2 linked regions of the Oryzias latipes genome follow. The protein of the gene in region 1 purifies or fractionates together with the protein of each later gene. This does not show direct contact. Links are inferred from orthologs where the notes say so. Each region holds a gene or a part of one and is shown in the gene's direction. Other genes may lie near its edges.

The links.
Region 2: the proteins of casp9 (region 1) and dcc purify together in Homo sapiens (co-immunoprecipitation; 3 studies listed by BioGRID and IntAct, with this or other methods). This does not show direct contact. The link is inferred for Oryzias latipes from reciprocal best matches to the Homo sapiens genes CASP9 and DCC.

The regions. Positions count from the first base shown.
Region 1 is NC_019865.2:5,965,148-5,969,712, reverse strand, and holds the start of casp9 (caspase-9), read left to right. Parts: upstream 1-1,694; 5' UTR 1,695-1,917; coding exon 1,918-2,049; intron 2,050-2,141; coding exon 2,142-2,352; intron 2,353-2,428; coding exon 2,429-2,476; intron 2,477-3,433; coding exon 3,434-3,489; intron 3,490-3,570; coding exon 3,571-3,747; intron 3,748-3,823; coding exon 3,824-3,913; intron 3,914-4,222; coding exon 4,223-4,273; intron 4,274-4,565. Other genes in the region: dnajc16 (dnaJ homolog subfamily C member 16), read right to left, coding at 172-356, 431-755, 830-896, 968-1,134. UniProt on the Homo sapiens protein: Involved in the activation cascade of caspases responsible for apoptosis execution. Binding of caspase-9 to Apaf-1 leads to activation of the protease which then cleaves and activates effector caspases caspase-3 (CASP3) or caspase-7 (CASP7).
Region 2 is NC_019870.2:29,534,332-29,538,151, reverse strand, and holds part of dcc (netrin receptor DCC), read left to right. Parts: intron 1-3,110; coding exon 3,111-3,413; intron 3,414-3,820. UniProt on the Homo sapiens protein: Receptor for netrin required for axon guidance. Mediates axon attraction of neuronal growth cones in the developing nervous system upon ligand binding. Its association with UNC5 proteins may trigger signaling for axon repulsion.

The DNA.
Region 1 (4,565 bases):
AATGTGGTGGGGGCAACATTTTTGTTCAAAGGTGCAGTAACAAAGAAAAATTACTTTTATAATTCTGGGACAGAATATTAAACCCGCAAATCATCTAAAGCTCTATGCTGTTCTGTAAGTCTTTAGATCTGTGTAAAACATGTTTGTCCCTCCCCACATACACGTATGTACCTGCTCCACCAGCCTCTGAGGAAGAAGGTCTTCTACAAACTGCTTCAAGTGTTCCTTTGCGACAGCATAATGGAAAAATGTCACTTTGCCATTGAGGACTCCAAGTATGGATGGGGTGCGGTGAGCACCGAGGTGATTGGCTAACCGTCTTTCATAGCCTACATCCACCACGCCGATCCCAACACCTGCAAAGACAAGGCATCCACGGATGATCTAAACCCATATGAGTTCATGCATGACAGGAGACCTCATCTCTAACCTAGACTCTCCATCTCCTGCACCACCTCTTTCCACACAGGCTCGATGTGGATGCAGGTGAAGCACCAATCGGAGGTGATCTTTATCAGGTAGGGCCTCTTGTAGCTGTCAGGAACCACGTCGTTGATGTAGTGGTTGAAGTGAAGGGTGTACTTGTTGTCGCCAAAGTCTCTTTGGTTCTTGTTGTTGAACGGGAAGTTAAAGAAGGACTCATCAAAGTAGAAGTTGTCATGGCGATGGCCATAATGACCGCTGCCATACGGTTGGGTGTCATCAGTCTGCCCATAACGGTCATAGTTGGCCCGTTTATCTTCACTGGACAGGATCTGGATTGGAGATGATGCACACATTTCAGGCATGACTGCTACAAATGGTCAAACCCACCTGAACCAGAACTAACCTCATAGGATTTGGTGATCTTGATGAACATATCCTCAGCGCCTGGATCTTTATTTTTGTCAGGATGCCTGAAGAAACAGAGGCTCATTTGAACTGAACATGTCAAACTGGTTAGTTGTCCCATCAAAAATATATTTACCATTCTCTTGCAAGTCGCTTGTAGACCTTTTTGATCTCAGCTGAGTTTGCACTCCTGGTCACACCTAATATTTTGTAGGGGTCCATCTCAGATGCAGCGCGAGCTGGTGGCGTCAGCAGCACCGCCAGGACCACGGCCACAGCCAGGGTCATCTTTGACCCCCCCATCGGTCCCCCTCACGACAGCGGATCAGTTCGCACCAGAAAACGCCTCTACATCGTGACACGGATTTTGGATTGCCTCCACATCTGCACAGCTGTTCCACTCAAATGATGCCAGAGCGGAAGCATCCATAATAACATGCTAACCACAAAAACACTGGCAATGCCGCCTGTGGCTATGTTGCCTTTCCTCCAGAATAAAACGCATTTTAAGGACTGCGTCTGCTCCAGTTGTTTATGTTCTCCAAAAACAAAGGTAGTCCGCCGGTTCTACGCCACATTAGGGTGGTTTTGGTCCTCTCAAGCTCCACGATGCTGGCTATCCAGAGATACACACACGGGGTATGTTCGGCCACAAATCACCAATATTCCGGGGCAAACCGCTCTAGGAAAAAAAGAGCATAGAGCTAAAAATAGTAAATGCAATAGCGTTCTGTGACATCTTAAACACCTCTGTGTTACAACTTGACGTTTTATCGAGCCGGGAATAGATTGGATTTGTGCACCGCTCTCCCCCTACAGTCACAGAGACACACCGGTACTGAAATCAAACGTACCCATGAGCTAGCCTATCACAGGCGGTGATGATGTAAACAAGGAAGTGGCTGATGGAACTTCGGGGGAAAACCAACCATAGGCATAAATATATCGAAAACAAGCTAGATGCGAAGAAGCTTTCTTTTTAACGAATTTATATCCTTAAAAACGCGCCTCTGGGTTGAATATTAAAACATTTTCGGAATTTGTTTTTGATTCTGTATTGGTAGTAAGGCGTTCGTGTGGAAGGAAATGGAAGAAAAACACAAAAGGATCCTTCGCCGAAACCGAGTTCATCTGGTAAAGGAGTTGGACCTGTCGGACCTCTGTGATGTTCTCCTTAGAAAAGACGTGTTCACCCAAAGCATGATAAACGACATAAAGGTAGGTTTCTACCACTAATGTTAGTGTCTCTTGTTTAGTGTTGTTGTTGTTGAAAAAACAAACAATTTAAAAAAATGTGTCCTGGCCGACAGAACTGTGAGACCAAACGGGACCAGGCCCGAAAATTGGTTAAGGACTTAGAGACCCGCGGGAATGAGGCGTTTTCGGCTTTTCTGGAGGGCCTTCGGGTCACGGGTCAGCAGAATCTGCTGGAGCTACTCCAGAAATCAGCTCCAAGAGTCCATTTCCAGCCTGGGAAATCCACGGAGGCGGGATACCTTCTAATCCAGCCTCATCCAGTTTGTAAGTCTGCTCTGCCAAAGTCCAGTTTGATCACTTATTTGATAGAAATAATATTTATTTGTCTTTTGTACTGTAGACATTGAAGATGCTGTTCCAAAGAAGCCCAGGACCCAACCTAGTCCACGTAAGAGAGAGAGGAGGGGTGGGGGTGTTAAAGTCCCCCATAACATTTTCATGTATTTTATTTATTTTCATAAAAACGTTCCCAGTAGTGTTCCCACAATCCCACAACCTAAATATCTTTAAACGCCATATTTCATGTTCATTCTAAACCTCTGTCTCCAAAATCTCCTCTTCATGGGCGTGGCTAGTGGTGCTGAGCGGTAGCCCCGCCCTTGATCCCGCCTTTTTGATGATGATAACTGTGTCCTGCAAGAGGGACAAGCTTGACACACTTGGGATCAATGATACTGATTGACAGTCTCTCTTCTCACAAGTTTCTCTTTAGCGATAAAGTGAAAAGTGACATTTTTGATTCCAAATCGCGCTTTCGGAACAATGACAACACGAACGTGTGTACCAGTTTAATAAAATAATAATAAAAAATGTATCATTATTATTTGCTCTGCTACACGGATCCAGAGGAAGGCTTAAGTTTAGGATTACAAGTTACGGCTAAGCTGCGTTCACACCGAACATGATTCACGCCGTACAAGCAGCAATGTGCCATCTCCTCTTCTGCCGCACCTGAGCTTGTGCACGCTGGACGGGGCAGATCAGGGAGCTTACGCAATGCCTATGCGCTCCTTGGCTATTATGACATCACAACGGCTCATTATTCAAACCGAGCGTCTCTCCGACAGTTTGATTGACAACGACTTAAAAGGAGAAATACTCAGAAATGCTAAAATGAAATGATTTAAATACATTTGCTCTGTTTCATAAGAAAAAAACACATGTACATTTAAAAACTCAAAAAACGTGATTTTCATCGGAGGGGGACTTTAAGTTCTATGTGGAACCATGTTGGATCCTTTTGTTTGTTTGTTTACCAGATTTTATACAATTTCATACAATTGAATTTCCCCAATGTGGGATCAATAAAGAATATCTTATCTTATCTTATCTTTTGTTGTTACAGCACCTGACGAGGTGTTCAAGGGGCCAGAGGTCCGACCACGACGGGACAGCATCCAGGTGAGCAGCCTTCATCATCCACATGCAGCTGTGTTTCCAGCATAATTGATCTAAATAACATATGGTGTGCTTGTGTGTCAGTACTATAAGATGGATGCCAGGCCATGCGGTCTTTGTCTTATCATAAACAACGTGGAATTTGAGCCAAAAACTGAGCTCAGCATTCGCAAAGGATCCAACGTGGACTGTGACAAGCTAGAGAAACGATTCAAGTCGCTTAACTTCGTGGTGGAAGTCCGGACAAATCTGAAACAAAGGGTGAGAGTCCTTTCTGCTTCTTCTGGGTCTGAAACGTTCTGAAAGGTAAAGATGCTCACTTGTGTCTTTCTTTCAGCAAATCAAATCTGAGCTGTCAGCTTTGTCCAGGAAGGATCATTCCATTTACGACTGCTGTGTGGTCGTCATACTCTCACATGGGACAGAGGTGAGGCGTCTCCTGTTTTTACTTTGTGTTTTTGGCGTTTTTAACATGTCGTCGTGGCATTTTTCTCATCACGGAGGACATATAGAAATAAAATTAAGCTTAGAATTGCATTACTGAGTAGTTCTTTATTCAGCTTGGTATGAATCAGTAGCAGAGGAAAAAGAAATGCTGTAGGAAAAAGCTGGCAGCAGGGATGTAGGTGCTACAATCGGTAGTCCAAAAGTTCCTGCTCCACTCCATTGCCATGCCTTCAAGACTTTGACATGGAACATGCTCACACGTTGCTTGATTACTTTTTGCTATATGCAGGTCCGCCACAACAAGATCAGATCAGCTGGGAGCTGGATAGAAATAGACCAGGTACGATAGAAAGGGAACAATTTATTATGTAGACAATTTGCCAAATGAGTGGCATTCAAGTTGATGTCCGAGGTTCTGTCAAGCACAAGGATTCCTTTGTCCTTTTCAAATAAGCAGAGGCCAAAAGGCAAATCAATGAAAGTGCAAAAAAAAAAAAACAAGACACATGCTTAAACAAACCCTGGAGACTGAAAGAAATTCTTCTCCAAATGATTGGGAAAGGAAGTTCCTTCTTTAGCAGTTCTGGATTAGATGTCAAAAGGTCAAGAAAAGGTTGTTTTCTCAGAGAGGA
Region 2 (3,820 bases), on another chromosome or scaffold:
AACTCATCAGTTGAAATTACCCTAGAATTTGTATTTTTTTCCAGACTTTGCGTGACATCCAAACAACTGAGGCTGATTTTCAGGAAAAATGGATGCTCGATTGCCTTATTATAATGCTGATCTTTTGTGCTGTCATTGTTCTAAACTACAGCACACAATTAGTTAAAAACATCAACCACAAAGCATAAATGATTTAGCTAAATGATTTAACTTTCTGTAGACTAAACACATAGTACTTCACTGAACAGTGTCGGAGTACATTTAAGAGCTCAGCTCAATCTTGACAGTTTTCTTCATCCGTCTGGCTGTCATGCTTTTAAGGCTGTTTTTTTTTTCAGAGATAAATACTACATGACCTGGCTGGAAACTGTAATTCAATGATTGACTGATTCCTGGTTGCCTCTTGTCAGTGATTTAACAAGAGCAAAGAGACAAGAAGAGGGTTCAGAGTCATAAAGTCAACCAACAAATTGCAAGGCCTGATTGCTGCCAGCAAGGCACGGAGGATGGGGGTTGGGGGGCAAATACTAGGGAGAGGAGTGTACAAGGACAGGGTATATTTACACTGACACACCCCAATGAACCGCCTGCATGCAAACACCCAATGCAGTCCTTACAAGTGCCTCCCCTTCAAACAGTCATTTATCCAGATGATCAGATGCAGTAGCTGCCGCTGTCATTTGGACTTCAGAGGGAGTCTTGTAGTTTTAAACTTCAGACAAATTTAGCATTCATGATGCTCTTGTCACTCGCTTGTCTCGTCACACTTCCAGCGGAAAAGGAACTATGCTGTGTGCCACTTAACGGTGAGAGTTCTCTGTTGTGGGCTTGACTGCTCCTTACTTAATGTTGCTGGGACGTCACTGAGAGTGAACATTGACCACAGAAAGAAAACACTGACTTTCTGTAGAATTTGGTGAAGAGGATTCCAGTCAAAGTTTATTCTGGAATGTCCAACTTCTACGAGAGGAAAACATGTTTTTTTGACATTTTATCTCATGGTGCTATTAAATATATTTTTTAAATAATTGCTTTGTCATGTTCTTAAAAAACACGTCACAATTTTTCAAGTAACTTAATCACTGCAACATAAATCAGATTCCACCTTGATCAAACACAACTTCAGTATTTGTGATGACAAAGCAACTTGGAAGTGCTTGTTGTCTTACTGTGGCTGCTGGTTAAGGACCTTATCTATATAAGTAAGGGATAATGCCAGACGAGGTGGGCATTATCAGAAATTCTCAGCCTATTTAAGTGTCTGGGTTTCTGTTCATCCTTGTCAGGTCATCTAGTCTGTTCTGTCACTCATTTGTCATGGTTCAATTCATTAAAAGGTTTTTTTCAAGCCCGTTCTCCTGCATTTTGGGTCCTTCACCTCCAGCTCTTGATAGATAACGAATGTTTAAGCTACGTGGCTGGAACTGCTTCTTTAGTCATGCTTTATCACTGTCCATTATATAAGGGTTCATGGCGAACAAAATGTGAATTTTCAGAATGAACGCACTTTGTGGAAGCGGGCTTCCACAAAGTGCGTTCAAAGGCCATTAACCCACTTATACCATATTTACAAAATAAAAAATTATTCAACCGGTTTTTAGTACTTTATTTGTGTTATTTCTTCGGTTTGGATTACTTTTTTCACAAAAGTGGACTATTACGTGGTGCAGTGCGTCGTCACGGTAACATGACAATGCACCGCTTAGCCAGGTGATCCAGTACCGAAGTGGTATCTATGCTGATGACCACGATGTGTTGAATAAAGCATAAGTTCAGAGAGAAAGTTCACCTCTTACAGGAACTTACCGGAACTACTTTTTTAGGTGTGCGGTTATCACTGTGGATTGCAACTTTTTAATGCACACCCAGCAGCCAATAAGAATTAAGTATTCACCTGGACGATGCTATAATGGAAAATAAATGATATATACTTCTTAAACGCTGCTTTTAGACATTAGCATCCCTTTCCCCTCTCTTCCTGAATAGCTTTTGTAATCACATGAACACTGAAGACCTGTTCTGGAACATGATTCAGGCTATTCTGCACCATTCCATTCCATTCCATTTTATTTGTGCAGCCTCAATTCACAACAGTCGTCTCAATGGACTTCGTACCGGTAATGTAAGGTAAACATACAATCAAAAAGGATAATCAATGCATAGAATTCAATAGGATAATACTAAACTTTAACTAAACAGACTAAACTAAACTGGACATCCCTGCCCTCAGACCCTCCTTCGCTGTAAGGAAAATCTCCTTAAAAAAACGGAATCCGGAAAAAACGAAGAAACGTCAGGGGTGTCCACATGAAGGAGGGATCCTCCCCCAGGACGGACAGACGATTTACCAGAACTCTTAGAGAGAATTAGCTTATCTAACTCTACAACTACATATTTAAAGTCCAGCAAATGATCTTCATCCAGATGAAGACGGGGGATGGCTGGGGGCGCAAGACGAGCCGGAGACAGGATCCACAGCCAGGTGTAGGAGCAGTAGTAGAGGCGAGCCAGAGACGAGGTACACGGTCAGGGACAGGAGCACGGATGACCCAACTGGAATCTGGTGTTAAGGGACTATGAGGTCCTTAATATAGGACGGGGCGTCCTATATTAAGGAGTGATGTGATCTCATCTGCTAGTTCCTGCTAACAATCTAGCTGCTGCGTTCTGAACAAGCTGGAGACTTCTTAAGGAACTCTTAGGACAAAAGAAATCTTGGATTATTTCCATTCTCTGATATTAAGGTTGAATAGTACTGGGTTCTAGCTCTACGCAGAGCTTTTTCAAAATAATTTAATAGGCTATGTTTCCAGGTATTCAGAGACTGCGCTGAATCGGAGCTACACCATAACAGTGCCACAACAGTGAAGATCCACGTCACTACCTCAAAATAAACTGGTTATTTTTTTACCGTGCCTAATGTTAATCTCAAAAACATAAGGGACCTAAATGATGTGGATACGGACTAAGTGGACGTAAAGTGGTGGTCACAAAAATGTATTTTCAGTTCATCTTTTCTTATTTTCAGTATTCTTGTAGCAAGTCCTTACTGCAGCCCAAAGCAAGATAACATCCATCCTTGCCTCTGATTCCACTTCTCTCATTTCTAGCCCTGTCCTCAGATGCCCCCAGCAACACTCTCCTCCAGCAACAGCCTGCATCTCAACAGCCCACCCCCCTGCTCCCTGGTTCCTCAGCTCCACCAGGGGAGCTTGTTCCTCCTGTTGGCCCCGTCCCAGGGGCCCCTTCTACTGCTGTTGTTGCTGAGGAGGCACAGGCCGGAGGCAGCCGTACCATTCCGACAGCTTGTGTTCGGCCCACCCATCCACTACGGAGCTTCACCAACCCATTACTGCCACCACCCATGGGAACCATTGACCCCAAGGTGTACACTTCCATGATTTCTCAGTCTGGTGAGTAAATCAAACTATTTAAAAGTCAAACATCTTATTTATAACTGCTATGAGAGATTGGACTAAGAAAAACAAGAGCGGTTTTGATGTGATCATAGAGGTGGGGCTTTTACTTCTCTACTTTAATTCACCTTTATTGATCACGAGAAGACCCGAGTGCTCCAATTACCACAGGCACCACTGTCACCTTCATCTTCCATGCTTCTCCAGTTCCTTCCTGAGTCTGTGGTGTTTCTCCAGTTTCTCATGTTCCTTCTTCCTGGTGTTACCATCACTATATACTGCCACATCCACCCCAACGGCTTTCCTCTGTTCTTTATCCACCACTACAATGTCTGGTTGGTTCTCCATTACCATTGTATTTAGATCCAACAAGGTTCTGGAAACATTCCTCATAGACTTTGGTC